Linked DNA regions of Oreochromis niloticus. The protein of the gene in region 2 purifies or fractionates together with the protein of the main gene of each other region. This does not show direct contact. Links are inferred from orthologs where the notes say so. Each region holds a gene or a part of one and is shown on either strand. Other genes may lie near its edges.

Region 1 (11,233 bases), on a different chromosome or scaffold from region 2:
TATGTGTGTTATCATGACTACCCCTGCATTGCTCTCTGGGTGTATTTGGACAATGGTATCAACACTCAGCAGACAAAAAAGACAAAACCTTCTGTATTTAACAAACAGGGTGATACCTGAGAGAACACCACCACCTTCAACAACAACAAAAACCTCCACCAGCTGGAAAACACAACAACTGAGACACGTGACGGGACGATCGCTGCACTGAAAAATATGTTAGTAAGGAATCAAAATCCACCACAGCACCACACAAGGATTACTGACCCAGGTCATGACCTGAGACAGAGGAAAAAGGTCACCTGAACCTGTCAACCCAGCACAAGGTTCATGCTGCTTGTTTGAATAACCAATCCTATTTCACTAACTAGATAACGTGTTTTTGAAGAACATACCTGAATTAGTTGCTAGAGACATATGTCTAATATTTAGCTAAACAAGACTAAGCTGACACTAATGCTAAGCTTAAATTGGGCTTAGAGAGGAGAGGAAATACAAAAAAATATATCTAAATTGAACTAAACTAGTTATAGCTCATGTTATAAAGGCATGTAGGAGGGTTATTCTTGACTAAAAACTAAATCTCCATTTTCTAAACATTTTCTTATTTTTGACCATCTGATAAACTGTGCAATATCCTTTGCTAATAACCTTCTTGGTTAAGACATAATATAAAGAATTTCACAGGTAAGTGACATCATGTGAGAACGTGCACGTACACTGGGCGAGACCACCCGAGGGTGTGATGAAACGACACCTCTGTGACGTCAAATAACGACATGTCGAGACGTTCCCAGTAAACGGGGCGAGACCAGCTGAGCCGAGTGACTGTTCAGTGACTCAACGCCATGTTTCTTCTGCCCTGCTGCTTTGTGATTACACGGTGTCTGTCTATGGTAATGTCTGGGAGCAGACTACTCCCTGCAACTCCATTATCAACATGCTGATATGGCACCATTCAAGAGCCATAAAAAGAATGACAATCATTAGATAATCAACAGAAATCAAGTCAGTTTTGTTGGACCTGTGTCGTCTCTGAAAATGTGAACTTTCAGTCGCCTAACACATTAAACCTGTCCGGTATTATTTGTCCAATATTTCAGTGCTGACATTTAAAGACCTTTCAGTGCTGACCCCTTGGCCTGCACCTCTATTTATTGAACTGGTGCCAGCTCCTTTCAGTAGCCTCGTCTTAAATTCTTGGCTCTATGTTTCAGTGTGTAGATGGAAACCCAAGCCTGTGCAAAAGATTACATAAGATGGCCAGTAAGGGCTGAGGCCTTGTGGCAGTAAAGCTCACTAAAGAACCATTTAGGCAGCCTGTAAAACATTCACCTCTTTGTTTCCTTTAGGATGAATGGATTTACGGATACACATACTAGTTTCTCTTTGTCATTTACCTGCATCCTTAAGTTTCTCCCTCTCTATCTGCGCGCCTCACTTACAGTTCGCCTGCTGCATGTGGGAAAATTGTGTCATTTCACACTGCATTTGTGAATCAGGAGGTCCCAGAATAAAAGAAAATGTGCTAATCAGGTGGGTTACTGAGATAAAAAGGCAAAGAGCAGATCACAAACATCCACAGTTCTTGGAGGCAGTTGGATATTTACTTTGATTATTTTTGCTATATATCTCTTGTTCCAGTGGTGGTTGTTCACATTAAAACTGACTGAAGATTAAAACAAGGTTCTCAGCGTATGTACAAAAAAAAAATTCCAGTGGACCAAAAGCTTGCAGTCACACTATTTAGAAGTAATCTGTCTTTTAAAGAAGAAACACTTTTTTTTTTTCTTTTAATCAGCTGAGATGTAGCTATACACGTTTGCCTTAGTATGCACAGATTTGTGGTTACTCTTCCACTCTGTATATCTGTGAGCCCCACTCACTCATGGTCTTCTCTTGCTGCATGGTACTAACAATTTATTTGTTGCACAGCATGAGAGAAGCTGGGAAAGGCTGGCCAAGAACCGAGAATCCCAGCCAAACAATGAAGCAAACAACAGATTTTTCCAGTATTTCCAATGTTTATTATCTCAGCTTCACTATCTACAAATACCTCTCATAACTATGTGAGAAAAATATAGCTTATTGAATTTTCTGATGTATAAAGTGAAAATAGTTCATGAATTCCAAGCTAAAAAGCATCGAATAGACGAGCCAACAATAATTCTCATCATTCTGCTTTAACTACCAACAGCACCACCTCTAAAGGGAAACATACTTTTACATATAAATTTGCTGTAGTGCAATTCCCACACCGGTGTTTCCATGTCAAATCATAATAATTACCTATGTGAATACATCAGTTACATAAACAAGGGTGACTCGAGGAAGCGTCTCACCTGTGAGGAAGGCTTCTTTGGCACGTAGACCTTCCACATCTTGGCTTCCCTAGAGGCGGCCTTTTCCAAAAGAAAAGACAACCTCTGGCGTCCCCAGGGTTCGGTGAACTTCATCGTGTCCTCCCTGGGCTGAGCCTACCTCCCCACTGGATACAGCTACCTGTACAATTGGAGGGGCAGGATATTAGAACATTGCCACCAAGAAGGACTGCACCAGTGCTTTTATACTCACAAAACCACGTTTAAGGGATCATTTTTAAGGAACAAAAATCTGGTTTTCCAAAGCATACGTCTTTATTTTTCAGTGAGGGATTAAAAATAACAAAGAAGTGACAATTTTTACTGAAAGTGGCAAACACAGTCATGAATCCGCCGTCTAGGCTTGTGGCTCCTTCAAAATTTAATAAATTGAACCCTGAGGAGCTGATGATTATATTCCACTTCTGTCTTGCGTCACTTATTTCTTACTAAATGTGTGTCTTGTTCCCTGCAGCTGTCCTAAATGTCCCTCTTTTATATGTACACCATTTTAATGGATTCAGAAACAGATTATTATTATAACATTAGCATTATTAATGGTCATAACAATAAATTAAAAACAAAAAAAAGAAAACAGCTGATGTCAAATGCCCATAGGCGACTTAATAATATTGTTGGTTACATCCATAGAATTAAAAAAAAAATTTTCAAATGTTTGAATTTTGTATGTGTAATTTTATCACTTTAATCTCTAAATACATTAGACATTTCCCCCCCTGTCATTTGACTAATCCCAGAAAATATACTGTAAATTTACCACTGGAATCTCTAAAATTTATTATTTTCACTGTACTTTTGTCACTGTAACTTCTAAAGACTTTAATTTTTCCTGCAATTTATCAAGATAATCGTTTTCTGTAAATGTACCATTTTTATCTCTGAAAATATACACAATCTCTTTATTATGGCTCATTTTAATCTCTGCGTTAAAAAAAAATATATAATTTTAGCATTCAATCTCTAAAAAGGTTCCGTTTTCCACCTGTACTAATACTAATGTCATTTCAAACTACACGTCATTTTTTTTGTCATTTTATTAATTTTATATCCTTTTTTTCCCCTGCAAATTTACAGCTTTAATCTATGTACATTTTTTACCCTCAGAAAAAATACAATTTTCCTGTAAATTTACCATTATAATCTCTCAAAAATGGAGAACATTTTTTATGTAAATGTATTGTTTAACCCTCCGAAAATATAAACGTTCTAACCCTACATTTCCTGTAAGGCCGTGGGTATTTATTTGGGGGTACTGAAGCTCCTGGAGATGCTTAAACTTTGTGACCTCATTGATCTGAAACGTTAGCTTTGAACCTAGCCTAGCTAACCGTAATCACATCAGTCATCGTCTAATCTATGACAAACTAAAATCAAACAATTTCTCCTTTTATCGGGAAACTACCGTGAATATCCAACCGGGAAGTCCCTTTCACTTTGGGAAGCACCGAGGCTTCAAGAGCAGGTGTATTACCGACCATTTCCTTATGATATAACCCCGAATCCGGCTATCTTCTGGAGCTGAGCTAATCTGACGTGGCTAGCTGTTCGCTAGCTGACGTAACATGCGATTACATGTATATCCGCTCTTGTTTAAAAACACAAACATCGCTGAAAATGTTGCTCACTGCTCTCCACTGTTGTGAAACAAAAAAAAGGCTGTGGTGCGTACAAGAGTCTCCAGACTGCGTTAATAACACAGCAGGGACATTTAAATGGCTGAGTCAGACCCAGTAAGTAGCCGGAGCCCGGAGCCTGGAGCCTTACCTCCCCTGCGAAGCGGAGAAGACCACAGTTGGGTTTCATCCGGTCCACTCGGTTCAAGGACGAGAGAAAAGGGTGAAAACGGGTACCCGCACTTCACTTTAGTCGTCCATCGTTATTCGGGATAAAAGGGGGTTGTTGTATATAAAATATATAAAAATAAAAGAACGGAATATAGACTGATACGTCTACTTCCGAGGAGGGGACTCGGGGGGAAGAGCGAAACACAAAGTCTCCGCCCACCTCCACGCTGAACGGGAATGCAAAACAATCAAACCTTCAGCAGAGGGTCACGGTCATGTATGTACCTTCAGGGGGAGTTTGTTTAACAGTTTACAGTGAACCTACTGTACTCAAGACCATCTTCTCTGAAGAATTTCACATCCTTCACTTTATTTTATTCCTTATACAAATAGTAAGTGCGTTTTATTTATATAGCAATTTTTTTTTTAATAGTTTTACAATACAAATTAAAATGTATTAAAAGTAAAACGTAAAAAAATCACGTTTACACTCTTTACAGAAAGTCACACAAATAAAAGGTGTCTTCAGCGTAGATTTAAAGTCACATCTGATGCTTGTCTAAGATCAACTGTGAGATGGATTCAGCATAGCTTCTACATATGTAGGTGCAACCCTGTTTAAAACCACAAACAGTACCACTTTATACTGCACAGGGAGCCAGTGCAAGGCTGCTGACACTGGAGTAATGTCATCTCTCTTTTTTGTCCCAGTCAGTAATCTGGCTGCAGCATTTTGCACTATTAATAGACTAGCAACAGATGATTGATTAACTTTAGTGTACAGTGCAATAAAGTAAATAAAGTAAACATAACTCTTTTCTATTAAAAAAATAATAACAAAATTACATTTAACAAAACGATTTTAGTATGTGTTGTAACAAAAGTAGTTAAAAGGTACAGTTTATCTGTTAACCCCTCATTAAATAGTCAAGGGACAAACAATATAACCTGCCAAAAAATGTTTGTTTTTTTAAATATATATTGAAAATGCACTTTCTTACAGAACAGTGATTTCTAAGATTCACAGCTAAATGCAACTGTAAATGATCTGCATGGCAATGACTCGAGAGGTTATGTTGACAAATAACTGGAGGTAGAGAGAGCATATACAAAGAAAAAAGAACAGGCCCCAAGACAGACCCTTGTATAATTCTAGATGTAACACTCAAATTAGTTAAGAGGCAAACCTTTGACTCCTGCAGTATCAAAAGCAGCTTTCAAGTCCAGCAGAACAAAAGCAGAACAACCACCAGAATCGGCACCACTTACAATATCGTTTGTGAAAGGACCGAAACCCGACTGAAAGGGCTAGAAAGGATGACAGTTGAATAAAAACAGAGTTGTGTCAAATCTTAGCTCGTCACAGATTCTGTTTAAGAGAACAGAATTAACACAAAGCTTCTTTCTGGATGTTTCTGTGGGAGTGTACAAGCATTTGTCCCAGGAAAGACTCCATTATGTGGTTAAAAACAAAAGAAAAAGCTGGGTCTTTCTCTGGTAATCTTCTGTGGGCCAGTGTAACCAAAACGTACTGATCAGTGTGCTGAATGTGGAGTTCATCATGGAGTATGATGTATGGCAGGGATTTATGTTGTGTTTTCCTATCAGCGTGTGGGAAGTGGTGGTTCCTCAAAAGCAGCTCCAAAGTAAATGCTGACGTAAGGGTTGATTTCTGCCTTACAATATGACAACGCACATTATCAGTGACACAGACAGCTAGACAGAAGTACTGACATCATTAGTGGTCTGACTAACAATCTTATGACAGTTAAATGAAATTTTAATGCACCTTTCTGGCAGGAAACTGCAAACAAACTACTTTTTTTTGGCTTCTGAGGGTTTTTTTCAAATATATTTTTCTTTCTTTGCTTAAACTGTCTTCTCTCAGGCAAGAGGAAAGAAAAGCTCCTAAAATGTGGTCTAAAATAAATATTCATTTACACATTATCTAATGGAAATGTATGTAAATTAGTGCATATTTAGATATTCCAGTACCCACTGATATTTGCCTATCAATGGATTCAGCAGTCACACCTTTCCAGCAAACCCTGGCTGGTGTCCCCACCCAAAGTTGCATAAAAGTAAAATCATGAACTCTCATATTTAATATTTTTATTCTTGAAGTTCTTCTGTGTTTCATTGCGAAGGTTATAATTCAACAAAACCATAGTTAAAAACATATGAGAGACTTAAAGCTTATAACGCCTTACTTTAGTGTTATGTGATCTGATTCTATACATGGTGTTTTCATGTTTCATGTTAAATTGGAATTTTAGTCTATACCCATTAATTTAGACTGGGGTCTTAAAACAACTAACCAAATAACTCCAGACCTTTGCTCAACATATCAGAAGATATTCTCATTCTGGTTCATTGTGACGTTACATGAACCCAGGTGTAGAATCTCTCATTCCACTTGTTTTTATAAACTTGCACGGGCTTGCCACAATATTTTTGAATTTAATCACTTTTGTGTTGAATTCTCATTTAATACAAATATCTTTATCACATGTGAAAGATCTTAGAGTATATAGAAAACACTGGTATGTTTGTTTAAAGTGGAATTGAGGTTTAACCATTTACAGACATGTTGTTTCACGTCTGACACAGACAATGAATAAAAAAACTGTCCAAAAAAGGCACTACGTAATGCCATGATTGCGTCAGGTCTCTGTGCGGGCACGATCCAATCAAAACATTAGATTTTGGGCGGACTATTTGAACGTATCGAACTCCGGTTTGCTGATTGGCTCACGGTAATGTTACTCAAGGTGGGCTTGTTTCTCGCGATCCAAACGCTGTGTTTCAGTTTCTCCGAGCTGTATCTGTAGATTGAAGCTGGGTTATCGATCTCCGGTGTGAATATGGTAAAAATGCTGTTACGGTGTTACAAAAACACCAGAATCGAGCTGCAATTTGTGCCTTTAACAGCATGAAAAGGGGACAGCTGTTCGTAAAGCGATGCGTCTGATTGGTTGTGGCCGGGTGACGTCGAGAAGTAGGCGTGAGCTTACTCAACATCAACAAAGGACAGAAAAAGAGAAAGACGAAAGAAGAGCAGAAGAAAAATAAGCCACAGCAGGACAGATATGTGGATCTAACTCACAGAAACAGGTAGAGTAAACCTTTAAAATACATCACAGCTGTATTTATTTTACTCAGAGAGTTCACTTGAGCGAGTAAAGTGTCATTTTTTTGTTTTTGAAGGTTTTTCATTAGTAACTGCCGACAGGAACTCGCCCAGAAGCGCTTAAAAATAGGACATAGGTGAATTTTATAGTTCTGACATTAGATTAAAAGCATTTAAGGTGTGTTTTTCCTTATATTTGATATTTTTGCATTAGTTTGCACGTACAGCATAGAGGCTTCTCTTTGCTGTTGTAGCTGGTATCCTCTGGACCCGTTTTCCTCTTTTTAAGCTCGATTAAACTCACTTTTATAAACCACTGCAATGACATATAATCGGTTTGTTAATCAACTCTGCTCTAATTCTCAGTTATTAAGCATCTGTGTGGGTAATCGTGTTTCCGTAGTAAAATAGTTAAGATATTTCATCATTTTTAAACGGCAGCCCCTCCCCCCGCTCCGACTACAGAGGATTTAAACCATTAGCTAGCGGAGGCTAACCGTCCACATCAACTACAAAAATTCAAAAAACAAAACCAAAAGATAAAAATAGTGTTTTTAGACGTGTGGGGCAACTTAATCTGTATTTTAGGTCGTTAATTTACAGTCATAACAGGAAAAAGGGGTACTTGTTTTTCGGTCAGGGGATCGAGAAGGCGTAGACCAGCGGAAATCTGACACCGAAGCCCAGCTGAGGGAAGTGGGCCGGGCCCTGGGCTCTGACCCCCAGACTGAGAGTGCACGCCAGTCACGTAACAGTTTAGCAACAATGTACCCGAAAATGTAAAGTCATGTCACAACACAGTAACAGTGTAGCAGTTTAGACACGAGAGGACCGAGTGATTAACTTAGATCCTCAACCTGGATACAGATTATCTTACACGATTCCAAAGACTTCACCTCAAATGTGTCCTCTTCATTCACATTATTCTCATGATACACACAGGCGTCTACAATAAAAGAGACTAGAAAGCGTTTATTGTTTTTGTTCTGTGAGAAATACAACAAAACAAGATTTTATTTTTTCCCAAAAAGTTGATAAAACGGAACAAGCAACACGACAAAACAACAGATTAACAGAGGATAATAAGTAAAAACAGAATGTTCCCCATAATTACTCAAATAGAAATTAAATAGAATTTAGCTTAACATGGTTTTCTTGGTGGGAATGTGGTTTTTGGGGGAGGGGATGTGTTCATTAGCAGCTCTCCTCCGTATATGGTTGAGGCAGTGAGTTTGTTGCCATACTCACGACAAGTCTATTCATGCAGCAAAAAGGTTCAAAAATATTTTCTTATGATCACAGAGACTTTTATGTCAGGAAAGGTTAAACCCTTTTTGGGTGGGTAACCTACAGATGTTTGAATGCAGTGAATAAACCCCCTGCTAAATGGCAAAAATCTCTAAAATGTAGCAAAAAGTTAAGTAAAATGCTAAATATGGAACAAAACTAAAATAAAGCTCACTTTTAACAGTGCAAACAAATGAATCATGAGGAAGTTGTGAGGTGGAGGTACAGAAAAGAGCTAATTGTTGCATGAGAGTGGTGATGCTGTAAAATGTAAAACTGCTCGGAGGCTCTGTTGATTTTGCTTGTTTGGGCTGAGTCCAAATGTCCGTGTGGAAAGAAGTTTGTGAGTCTGGTGACTTTGAATAACCTGCCAGATAAGGCAGCAGGTAAATCAGGTGGCTGCCAGGGTGCAAACCGGATTTAAAAATATAATCTAGATTTGTATCATTCAATAGTTAGAGGCATGAGTGTGATTAAAAATCACCTTCTTTTTTTTAAACAAACAAAACAGAGAAAAGCAGGTTTAAGAAGAAATCAGAGGAATTCTGGTTAGAAGTGAATTTCATAACACTGTAAAATGTCATAACAAACTCACCTCAGGGGAAACTCCAAACTTCTGCTCTGCTCTACATTGTGATGGAGAGTTTGCAGAAATCCTGTTAAGTATCTGTATTACAAAAATGCTTTTAGTTTCAGTTGCGATTTGCAATTATTTGAACTATGACATTCTTGTTGCCGCCGAGGAGCACAAGCTGACAACAAAGGCTGCGGGTCTGCCTTTTCTTACTGATCACATAAATCCCGACGATGTTTAAGGTTGCAGCATAAAAACTAAACTTTGTGACTTTTCTTTCCTTGCAGTGTCGGTACTGTGTTTTAAAAAAGACGGATCACTTCCTGCAGTCCCAGCTGAGACATGGATGCCTTCAAGCTGATGAAGGAGCTGAGGGTGAATTGTGAGCAGGAAGTGCATTATCTCCCCAAAGTGACGGGACTCCGCGCCATTGAATCCACAGCGCCAGTAGGCACCTGTTGATCTAAGCATCGCTAACAGGCTTCTTAATAACGGTGAAATTAACCAACAGCGTGTCTTTATTCTCCAGGGTGACAGTCGGATCTCGGCCAAGTGCAGGGATGCCAAAGTGGAGGATCTGTGGAGTCTGACCAGCTTCTTTGGTTACAGCACGCAGACGTTCGTCCTGGCTGTTAACCTGCTGGACAGATTTCTCGCCATGATGAAGGTATGAGACTTTTACACCTGCTAAGAGCAGACGCAGCACACTTTAGCTTCAGAGGTTTCTTTACTTAATTGTCGTCTCTCCTACCATCAGATCCAGCCCAAGCACCTGTCCTGCATCAGCCTCAGCTGCCTCCATATGGCAGCCAAAGTGACGGAGAAGGAGTGCAACCTGACACCCACCGACGAGCTCATCCGCATCGGACAGTGCCGGTTCACCGTGTCCGACCTCGCCCGCATGGAGAAGATTGTCACTGAGAAGCTCAACTTCAAGTCCAAAGCCGTCACCGCCTTAACCTTTCTGCACCTGTACCACCAGATCGCGCTATCACACTGCACCGATAGGTGAGGCCCCTACGAACACGAGGTTATGTGTTCAAATTTGTGTCTGCAAATAGATGATCCATTACAGTTGATGTTTGGAAGCTTGACGATTCTGGATTGGGTTCAAAAGTCTGGACGACAGTGTTTCGATTGGCACAAAGTCTTGTTATGTGGGGCAACAGGCAGTGTCTGATTGAAGTGCACTGATAACACTTGTTTTCTGCTGTTGGCAACAAAACTTTGCTCTTATGTAACCCTGCCGTGTTGTTTTTAAACCAGCTCAGCTTGGGTCAAAATGCCACATCAGAGAGTTTACACCAGTTTGTTTTGTTTAGAGCAAATTAAGTTAATTGAAGCGTTGCACTGAATTTAACTGGCCTCATATTTGACATCAGTGTTTGGAGTTGACGAGTCCTGCTATGTGTGTTTACCACTGTCATCTGTTTGTGAAACTTAACACTCATTGGCTGACCACTTATGATTGACCAAGATAATGTTGAGCCACCTTTTCGATTCTCAGAATAACCATAATTTACAAGATAAACATGTTGTACTAAAAATTACTCAAATCCAGGATCGAGCTATCAGCAAAGTTAAGGAAGGAAGACCCATTTTTAATTTAATTTTACTTTAATTTAATACTAATAGCAATAAACAAGTAAAATGGACATAACTGATGATTGTGTGTGTTTGATAATTGTTAAAGACCTGAACCTGACTGTATGTTTATGTCTGTGCTAACAGGAAGACGACGCTCAGCCTGGAGAAGCTGGAGGCTCAGCTCAAAGCCTGTCTGTGCCGGATCTCCTTCTCCAAAGCAAAGGTAAGAATTCCAGGTCTGTCCTGGCTAAAAACTGACAAATAAATTCATTTTATTCTTGACACAACACTGATCCTGTTTAACTGTGTTTTCTTTGCTTTTCCTTCCAGCCGTCCGTCCTCGCGTTGGCACTCCTGAGGCAGGAGATTGAAGCCGTTCAGTCTGAGGACATGTTGGAAATAGCCTCTCACATCCAGAGACACCTCAAGGTAGGCTGTTGCCAAACAGTGCATGACTTCATTACACAAGAACTCATCTGGGGAGGGGAAG
Region 2 (10,317 bases):
CGAACACAAAAAAACAACTAACTATCCTTTAAAGATCCTAGCCTCAACCACTACACAATATAACTGTTTACTTAAATGTTGAGTGACTTTAAAGAAGATTAGAAAAGAAAGCAGGGAGAGAGAGCAGGGTAAGACAAGCGGCAGCTCTTTAACTTAAATCTTTGTTTGCACATTTATTACTTGTATATAGTATTACTTCAATTATTTTGTTACTTTATTGATAAAGTAAGAGCTTTATTACATTCCTATAAATTATTTTATTTATTTTTATCTCATTAAAATATTGATTTTTATTTATGAATGGCAAAAACAAGCCATCCATATTAGCCTCTTATTGTACAATATAAACATTCTGTTTATTTATATGTACAAATGACAATGACACTATTTCTGCATAGACTTCAAAGGCCTTTGGGTTGGAGTTGAATCCAGGCTGCTGCATTTAGCTTTGTAGCTTATGGTCACCTGCTCACACTGTGACCTGAACTGGAACCTTCAAAAGTAATACTTTAAATATTAATAATACTGTAATATAATATGAAACTACCAGAATCCTAAAAGAAGATACATTTGTGGTCTTACCACCCAGCACCGAATTATTGGATTACTTATTTAGTTTTATCCTCATTTGATTCCACAAACCACACACACAGACCTGCAAATATGCATCCAGCAGACCACATGTCGATAGAGGTAGAGTAAAGTTTGGCTCCAAACAGCACGTCCGGAGGCCGATACCACAATGTCACCACCTAAAAACAAATCAAAACAAAATGTATAATCACAACCAGACTAATCGTAAAATAAATGTTGGGCATAATAACGGCTCTCTGAGGTGGGTTTTACATTTGGTGTGTTTCACAAGGAAATGACTTTGGCAACACTGTTACTAATACTGAATGGCACATTTAAATCTCCCTCTGCTTTCCACCACAACTTGCTGGCATTTTAAAAAGCTGCTGCTGTGTCAGACCCTCATTTTTCCAAGGACTTATGAAAATGAGTCGTCTGGAGGGCACCGCAGGAGTAAAAAAAAAAAAAAAGGAAAAAAAAAAGAAAATCAAATGCAATTATAGAAAAGTTCCACTTTTCAGAGCAAATGTGTGGGCTGACTGCAAGTGACTATGCTTCAGTTTAAAAAGTGCAAAAGTTCACTTTAGTAAATGTGTAAATTACTAAACGTGACTACCTGCTACAAAACAAAACTAACTTTTCTTTTTACAAAACATATTTGTAGAGCTTCCAGCTAGAAAAGGACTTCAAGTTTTTCAACTAAGACGGCATTTCATTTGAAAAAAGTACAGTGTTGTTAAGTCCTTGCCTCTAAATATGATCAAACTGGCTTTTATTAGGATTAGCTGAACAATATTGTGGATAAAGTAAAAACTTATTAAAAAAACAAAACCCCTATACTACCTTTAAGCTGCTCATACTATATACATTATATAATATGTCAACATAACACGAAGCAACTGTGGAAGCCACAGGGCAATACATCCTCTCAAATGTAAATGATATTTTAAAATCTCAATGCTTCAAACTCAGGTCTCCTCCAGATTTTCTGTTTATTACATTTTCAGATCAGTAGCGTCAACCTGGGTCAAAATCCCCATGAGAATCGCTTGTCAGGCCTCAAGTAAGCCTTGCGCGTCATTTCTCTCAAAGTTTCAGCAATAACAAAAATCAAACACCCACATACTGAGACATGCTTCACTCCATTTCATCATTAATTAAACAAATTAATTTGAAGATAAAAGAAACAAATTGAGGCCTTTAACTGTGTGCACATGAGAGACTACAAAAAAGCACATTTCAAAAACCTATAAAACACTGAGAAAGTTGAAGGGAATCTACTGGTTAGATGTTAATACTGTGCTATATTCTGGCTTCCTTTTATATTTAGATCTTGAGGTAATTAGGTCAGTGCACTTCTCAAACAAAGCATTTTACTCAGGAAGTGTGGTTTTGTTTTAAAAACTGAGAAAGTATGATTCATCATAAGATTGTTAACATCTTGGATACCAGTACTTCTTGGAAAGCCAAGTTTAAAGTATTCTTACACCATTAGTTTGCACAACATTAAAAATAAGTTGTCCTCTCTTTAGACACAGCAGTTGCCAAAAAATTATGCTTTTTCACACTGGTCACATGTCTTTAGCTGAAAGCAGTGAGCTGTTAGTACCTTTTGCATTAATGATGTATAACCTACCTCTGCTGAGTAACACCTCACAGGAATTCCAAAAGCTCGAGCCAAACCAAAGTCAGCCAGCTTCAGCTCGCCGTTCTACAGACAGATAAACAATTCTTACTATAATTATCAAAGCATATAAATGGATACATGTCTGTATCCACATTCTCACATCCCTAATGAGTCAATCTCAACAAAATTTTGACGTTAATACGGCAATATTAACACCTCTATGTTTTTTAAACTTTATTCTAAATCCCACTGCTTTTGAATTATATTATGTATATTATTATTTCATCGTCGCCCCGTGAATGCAATCTCTGTATCACACGTGGTAAACTAACACACTAATAAGCTGCAGTGCTCAAATGAATGAACTTCAAAACAAAAGACATTACACAGAATCTCAATGATAAACTCAGTGGTGTTTGTTTTCACAAAGAAAACCAGTGTCCATCTCACTTAGATTTAACTTTAAAGAAATAGTATACTGATGGAGGCCACACAGTAATGAATGTTTATCAGCCACCAAGTCCAAATGCACCTAAACACTCACTCTGTTGATGAGGAGATTCTGCGGTTTCAGATCTCTATGAAGAACATTTCGACTGTGACAGAAAGCAAGGCCTTTCAACAGCTGGTACATGAATGACTGTACAGGAAAACAAACAGCATCAACAATATGGAGTTAATTTCAAATTTTAAGCATAAAACAGGCTTTTAAGCAGGCAGGTTTACATAGTTTAAATGCTCTTCATGTTTATGTCTCACCTTCACAGTTTCAGGATCTAGATCCCCGTTGCAGCTGTCGAAATACTTCTTCAAATCCTGCAGCAGAGAAGAGACACATATTAGGCTCAGGGGGTACATATTAAGATATAGTGCGTTTTAGAGGTGACCAACTCACCTGATCACAGTATTCAAAAACCAAGGTTAACTTCTTATCACTGTGCAAAACGTCATGTAGTCTAAAAAAGGCAAAATAATATTCTGTTGGTGTTTGTTGACATCAGGGTTACATGTAACCTGGAGGCATTCAGCTCTTCTGTCAGACTTACCTGACAATGTTTTTATGTTTCAGTTCCTTCAGAAGACAAATTTCTCTCAGAGCAGAACTAGGCACCCCCTAAAAGATTTTTTTAATTTAAAAAAACAAAACAAACAGCTTCCATTTAGTACTAGCGTGCTAACTACTAGCTAACAAACACTGTGACTCTCATATCATTTTATAAAGAACAAACCTCGTCGTCGTCGTCCAACCTGACCCTTTTCAAAGCCACAATTTCATGGGTTTCTCTGTTTTTTGCCTTAAAAACGGTCCCATACGTACCTATGGAGCAGACAAAATTTATTTAAACCACATATCCCGATGAATGGGCACAGCTAAGGGGTCCTAATATTAGCTCGCTACATGCCCACCGTTAGCTAGCGCTAATATAGTAAAAGTGGAAGGCAGAACTCTTCTGACTGGTACTGTTACTAGTACATACTAGTGCGAGTAAAAACTCGCAATTTTTTCCATGTGGTTAACTGGGGCATACATTAACGAATACATATTGCTTACAGATTAGCTAACTTTAGCCTTCGACCTGCATGAATGCTACATTAGCGTGCTAGGCTAACTAATATTAACCTTGCGAAATTAACCAAAACAAAAGTCTGAGACTTACCCTCCCCGATTTTTTCAAGCTTTTCATATTTCTGCATGTTTGGCCAGTGAAGCCAGCCTTGAATACGCTAAAAAACCAACGAATGACAACACCCCAAATTGGGGTGAAAAGAAAATGTTATTGTAGCTAGCGTTAGCTTAAATCTGTCTGCAATTGCTGCTGCTCTTCGGATTGCAGCCGAGCATGTCTTGTTTGTCATCTACAGGCTGAAAGACGAATTACAGCAACCTTGAAACTAACCTGCTATAATGAACATTTTAAAATGCAGAATCTCATGTCCTTAAAAGACATCATTTGAGAAAATCGTGTAAAAGGCAAGTTTATGTACAAAAGTAAAGTAATCCATAATGGCCATAAAAGCTCATTAAAGATGGCTCATTCAGGGAGGTGTTGCTGCAGACAAAGTGATAATATGAACATGGTAGAGATGTGATGTCTCTTATCTGGGGCGATAATTACTAACGTAATCTTAAAGTGCAAATGTGTTCTAGGAAGTTGTGAGACTGTTAATTTCTTAAGCAGACTTCCAATATGGCCTAATATATGTGTGTAGTGATGTAAACACAACTTTAAAGTGATATAAATTTTACCTCCTTTGTGGTGTGGTCAGCAAACAAGCCCATTATGCTGAATACTGATGGCTATTGTTCATTATTACACAAGAATATGCCAGCACATACAGCTGCAATCCCTAATTTTTTGGACAAAAGAACATTTTTTTGGTGTTGCCTCTATCCACCACAGCAGTGGATTTTAAATCAAGCAATCAAAATCAAGCTGCATATTTCCCGCTTTAATTAAAGGAGTTTTTACAAACGTTTTGCATTCACTGTTTAGGAATTACATTAATTAGTTTTATACACATTTTGCATTAACTGTTTAATTACAAGCATTTTGTATAGTCACCCATTTTCAGAGGCTTAAAATTAATTGGACAATGGATTGACAAGCAGTTTCATAGCCAGGTGAGGCCTGTTCTGTCATGATAAGTGAACAGGACATAATATCCACACTTGATTAAACGTTTTGAGTTTATATTTCAAAGCTTTTTGCTGTAATTTAAAATATGAGACTCAGAGATGTTAGTGCAAGTGAAGAAGGCTATCGTAAGGCTAAAAAGGACAATAAATCAATTTTAGGGGAGGCCAATTGAATAGAATAGAATAGATCTTTATTGTCACTGATGCAAGAACAATGAAACACAGTTTGGCATCTCTCTGCTTGCAGCTTGTAGAGATGCCAAAATGTGTTTCAAATCAATAACCTGGTTCATTATTAAACATAAGGAATGGGATGGCCAGCTCAGCAACACCAAAAGGCCTGGGTGAGTGCAAAACCAATGTGGATGATGACAAAACTATTTTCATGATTAAGAAAAACAACTTCACAACATCTTACCAAGTTAAGAACACTCTTTAGGAAATTGCTGTATTATTGTCGAAGTTTATAATCAAGAAACACATTCATGGGTTTACAACATGCTATAAGTTTACATTCAAGAACAGAGTGTAACAACAAAACATCTTAAAGAGCCAATAGATTCTTTAGTCACAGAAACCAAGATTACCTTTACCAGAACAATGCTAAGTAAAAGAAAAAGCTCATAATCATGCCCATATAATAACATGTTATAATATGGGCATGGTATGGGCCACACAGTGTGATTGCTGACAGAATTAGCAGGATGAATTGTGTGCAGGGCTATGCTCTGCTCAGGTTCAGAAGAGTAAACTGAATAGAGTGAGCGTCACGATGCAAACAATGATCCAGAGTTTCTACAAGTATCAATGTCTTCATATTTAAAATTGTTAGTTTGTCCAACTAGTCTTGAGCCTCTGAAAATGAGGCACTATGTATAAAAATGGCTGTAACTCCTACAGTAAATAGTTAATGAAGTTTTTGTTAAATGTCTTGAACCTTTAAGTCAGATGTAAAATCCACTGTGATAGTGTACAGACAAAAAACTACAAAAAGTGTCTTTGTCTAACAAACTATGGACCTAACTTTAGCTTGTTAAGAGCACAAGGTATATGTGCTGGCTGTGAAGTTTCTTTTTTACATGTGGCCTGGATATAGTAAAACTATATATACAAATGTATGTGGTGGCAAAGAAGAATGGTGCCAAAACAGCAAGTCCTTCCCCAGAGTTTAATTTTAGAATAATGTCAGTACTGATCACTAGTAAGGGTCTGTGTTGAGTTTCTTAGACATTTTATGACAAGAAAGGTTTATTGTCATCCACAAACAGATAATAAACACTTTAAATTCATCAAAAGTAATTTTAATATTTTTTCCAACACATTACAATTTATCTATCATTCTATCAACAACACTGGAAATAACAGCGCATTCAGTAGTGTAATTTGTTCATCACAGGCCGATCCACATTGGTCCATTTGTTCATACACATTTGTAAGTTCTCATAAAACTAGTCACAGAGATGGCAAATTTACAGTACATTTTAAATAATTAATCTTCCACACATGTCTTGCTATGCATTTCAAAATAAACGCCATTATACAGTATTATACAGCTACTGTAAACAAATATGGGTGTGGTCATTTTTGCCCCTCAGCTCTTTGCCTGCGGATGAGATCAGAATAATATCCTCCTTTGCTCAGCAGTTCCACATGTGTCCCAGCCTGTAACAAAAAGGAAAAAGGTGTTAGATATAATAAAAATTGATATAACACAATCAACTCAACAAGGAAGCTACCAGTATGTCCATACGTATTACTAAATACTGAAAGAATTCAATTTTATTAAGTACATCTCTGACATTAAAAGCTAGAGTAAATTAGCTGGAGGATTTAAATGGAGGTCAGAGTATGTCCTGAATACTCAGCCTTCTCACCTCCACAATACGACCATTGCTCATCACGCAGATCAGGTCAGCCCCTTGAATGGTGCTTAATCGGTGGGCGATGATGAGCACAGTGCGACCCCTTGTGGCTCTGTCCAGAGCCTCTTGCACCACTCGCTCTGACTCTGCATCCAGAGCACTTGTGGCTTCGTCCAGCACCAGAATACTGGGGTTCTTGATCAAAGCGCGGGCAATGGCAATGCGTTGTTTCTGTCCACCTGATAATGTCACACCACGCTCACCTGGGTTTAAAGATCTGGAGTTTAGAATTAACAAGCGGCACCGTTTCTTAACAGTCGTGAAAGCTCAAATGGGAGCACATACCAACCACGGTGTTATAGCCGTCTGGGAAACCCGTGATGAAGCCGTGAGCATTGGCTTGCTTTGCTGCATCAATGACCTCAGCATCTGTAGCCTCAGGCTTCCCAAAACGGATGTTCTCCATGACGGATGATCCAAACAAAACTGGCTCCTAAAAGAAAGAAGAAAGAGGAAAAAAAGGAAGTTGCAGTGAAAATTGTTAGGAAGTAATACTTTTTAAAAATTGATCATGAAATGATCAGCAGCCTTGACCTGATTGATGAATCCGATAACTTGGCTCCTGAGCCAGGAAAGGTCAAGTGTTCGAATGTCGAGGCCGTCCAACATGACTACACCGCTGGTAGGGTCATAGAAACGCTCCAGCAGGGACGCAACTGTGGACTTTCCTACAGGGTTAAACATTTATGAGATGACCCAATATTGTTTGAATGTCGCACAGTTACTGAATGAAACGTCAGAAATTACCTCCTCCAGATTCTCCAACAATGGCGACAGTTTTACAGGGTGGTAGTGTCAAACTGAATCTCTTCAAGACTTGATGGCCTGGTCTTGTTGGATAACTGGAAACATATCAATAGAAAACAATACATCATTCACAAATCACACTTTTATGTCTGTGCTCAGTTGTAGTTTTAAACTTATATTTGATTTGGAGCTGAATTAGGAGGATTTTAACCTGAACGAGACGTTCATGAAGTCCACTCTTCCTGTGAGTGAATGGTAAGGAATACGTCCTCCTCCAGAGAGGGGGATAGTGGGCTGCAAAGCAAGGTATTCAAAAACCCGAGCCCCAGAGCTTATTCCTCTCACCACCTGCAGCAAATGTTAGAGATTGCCAGCAAAATATTTGAGGCATTTGGAATTGTTCACATATTATAATACTCTAGTTTCAAATCTGGTTGGCAGTCAGATAATCGTAGTTTTTACTTACTTGACCGAAAAGTATGGAGATACTGGCCAAAGACCTGAGCATAAAATGAATGCATGACTTGTAATTAACTACTTTTGAAAGAATACATTTAATTGTAAAAGAGAAATCATCGTGGAGCAGGTTGTGTGTTTTTACCTCTGAACGGTCTGAGAAGCAACCAAGAAAGACATTAGGTCTCCAGGAGACATTTCATTGCTTGAAATTAAAGTTCCTCCAGCAAAAATAGTTCCAAGGACAATGCCTGTATTAACACGACACAAAAACATTAGCATAACAGAAGAGATGCAGTACCAGGCTGCTAACAGTGTGTCCACTAATTAACAATGTAAAACACACTCACAGTTCAGGGCAATGTTTGACAGCCCTTGGAAAATGGCAATCCCAGTACCAAGATTTTCATTCATTTCACATGATTTGTCAACTTCATATGCATATAACCTGTGTAAAAACATTATGGAAATCAAAACATTGTATCTCTGTCATAGATTTAGTGCTTTTCTGAAAGTACAAAGGGTAGAAGTACAGGGTGGGCCATTTATATGGATACACCGTAATAAAATGGGAATGGTTGGTGATATTAAAGTCCTGTTTGTGGCACATTAGTATATGTGAGGGGGCAAACTCCTCAAGATGGGTGGTGACCATGGTGGCCATTTAGAAGTCGGCCATCTTGGATACAACTTTTGTTTTTTCAATAGGAAGAGGGTCATGTGACACATCAAACTTATTGGTAATGTCACAAGAAAAACAATGGTGTGCTTGGTTTCAACGTAACTTTATTCTTTCATGAGTTATTTACAAGTTTCTCTTTGTTCACAGCCATTGACATGTTGAAAAGGTTAACATGTGAGGAGCGGATCGAAATTGTGTTGACATCTGGTGAACGCAGTAACCAGGTCATTGCAGCAGATTTCAATGCAAGACACCCTACGAGACCACCCATCTCCCATGCTACAGTTAGCAAACTGCTTGCTAAGTTTCGTGAAACTGGTTCAGTGTTGGATTTGCCAAAATGTGGACGCAAGAAAACTGTCACTAATGAAGAAACATCAGTGGCTGTCCTAGCTTCATTCAGCAAGAGCCCACAGCGTAGCACTCACTGCATGTCACTGGAGAGTAGCATTAGTCTAACATCCCTTCGGCGGATATTAGCTACTCACAAATGGCACCCTTACAAACTCCAGCTACTGCAGCATCTCAACGAGGATGACCCAGATCGGCGCACAGAATTTGCAGAATGGGCAAAACAAAAACTGGAACAGGACCCTCAGTTCACGCAGAAGATTTTGTTCAGTGATGAGGCAAACTTTTATGTGAATGGTGAAGTTAACAAACAAAACCACCGCTATTGGTCTGACACTAACCCACATTGGATGGATCCCTCCAAGACTGTTGGAACAACAAAAGTGATGGTTTTGTGTGGTATATGGGGTACAACGATAGTGGGTCCATTCTTCATCAATGGAAACCTCAAGGCCACTGGATATTTGAAATTGTTACATGATGATGTGTTTCCCTCTTTATACACTGAAGCTGGCACGTTCCCTGAGTTTTTCCAGCAAGATGGTGCACCACCACATTATGGGTGCCAGGTCCGAGCATTCCTAGATGAACAGTTTCCTGGAAAGCGGATTGGTCGTCGTGGGCCAGTTGAATGGCCCCCAAGGTCTCCCGATCTGACCCCCTTAGACTTTTATCTTTGGGGTCATCTGAAGGCAATTGTCTATGGTGTGAAGATACGAGATGTGCAGCACCTGAAACTAAGGATACTGGATGCCTGTGCTGGCATTTCTCCTGCGGTGTTGCTATCAGTGTGTGAAGAGTGGGAGAAGAGGGTTGCATTGACAATCCAACACAATGGGCAGCACATTGAACACATGTTATAAGTGGTCAGAAACTTGTAAATAACTCATGAAAGAATAAAGTTACGTTGAAACCAAGCACACCATTGTTTTTCTTGTGACATTATCAATAAGTTTGATGTGTCACATGACCCTCTTCCTATTGAAAAAACAAAAGTTGTATTCAAGATGGCCGACTTTTAAATGGCCACCATGGTCACCACCCATCTTGAGGAGTTTGCCCCCTCACATATACTAATGTGCCACAAACAGGACTTTAATATCACCAACCATTCCCATTTTATTACGGTGTATCCATATAAATGGCCCACCCTGTATATCAAAAATATTCTCTCACTTACTGGAGCTCTCGTTCCTCCATCGCAAAAGCTTTTACAGTGCGCACATTACCAAGTGCTTCATCTGCCACCCCTGTCGCCTTTGCTACCTTGCATTTGACAGCATTAAGTAAAAACACAGTAAGACAGCAAATTAGACTAATT

Evidence for each region. Proteins that work in one complex are often made in the same cells at the same time.
Region 1: the proteins of cdk5 (region 2) and ccni purify together in Homo sapiens (affinity purification with mass spectrometry; 3 studies listed by BioGRID and IntAct, with this or other methods). This does not show direct contact. The link is inferred for Oreochromis niloticus from reciprocal best matches to the Homo sapiens genes CDK5 and CCNI.

What each region holds. Positions count from the first base shown.
Region 1 is NC_031972.2:33,324,789-33,336,021, reverse strand, and holds the start of ccni (cyclin-I), read right to left. Parts: upstream 4,379-11,233; 5' UTR 4,146-4,378; intron 2,503-4,145; 5' UTR 2,457-2,502; coding exon 2,343-2,456; intron 1-2,342. Other genes in the region: ccng2 (cyclin-G2), read left to right, coding at 9,499-9,603, 9,686-9,823, 9,914-10,164, 10,888-10,966, 11,074-11,172.
Region 2 is NC_031982.2:19,023,184-19,033,500, forward strand, and holds the start of cdk5 (cyclin-dependent kinase 5), read right to left. Parts: upstream 4,206-10,317; 5' UTR 3,896-4,205; coding exon 3,859-3,895; intron 3,519-3,858; coding exon 3,430-3,518; intron 3,315-3,429; coding exon 3,247-3,314; intron 3,157-3,246; coding exon 3,096-3,156; intron 3,017-3,095; coding exon 2,960-3,016; intron 2,841-2,959; coding exon 2,745-2,840; intron 2,285-2,744; coding exon 2,210-2,284; intron 753-2,209; coding exon 656-752; intron 1-655. Other genes in the region: abcb8 (mitochondrial potassium channel ATP-binding subunit), read right to left, coding at 6,417-6,500, 6,713-6,963, 7,046-7,193, 7,295-7,428, 7,508-7,602, 7,719-7,855, 7,974-8,007, 8,109-8,214 and 2 more. UniProt on the Homo sapiens protein: Proline-directed serine/threonine-protein kinase essential for neuronal cell cycle arrest and differentiation and may be involved in apoptotic cell death in neuronal diseases by triggering abortive cell cycle re-entry. Interacts with D1 and D3-type G1 cyclins.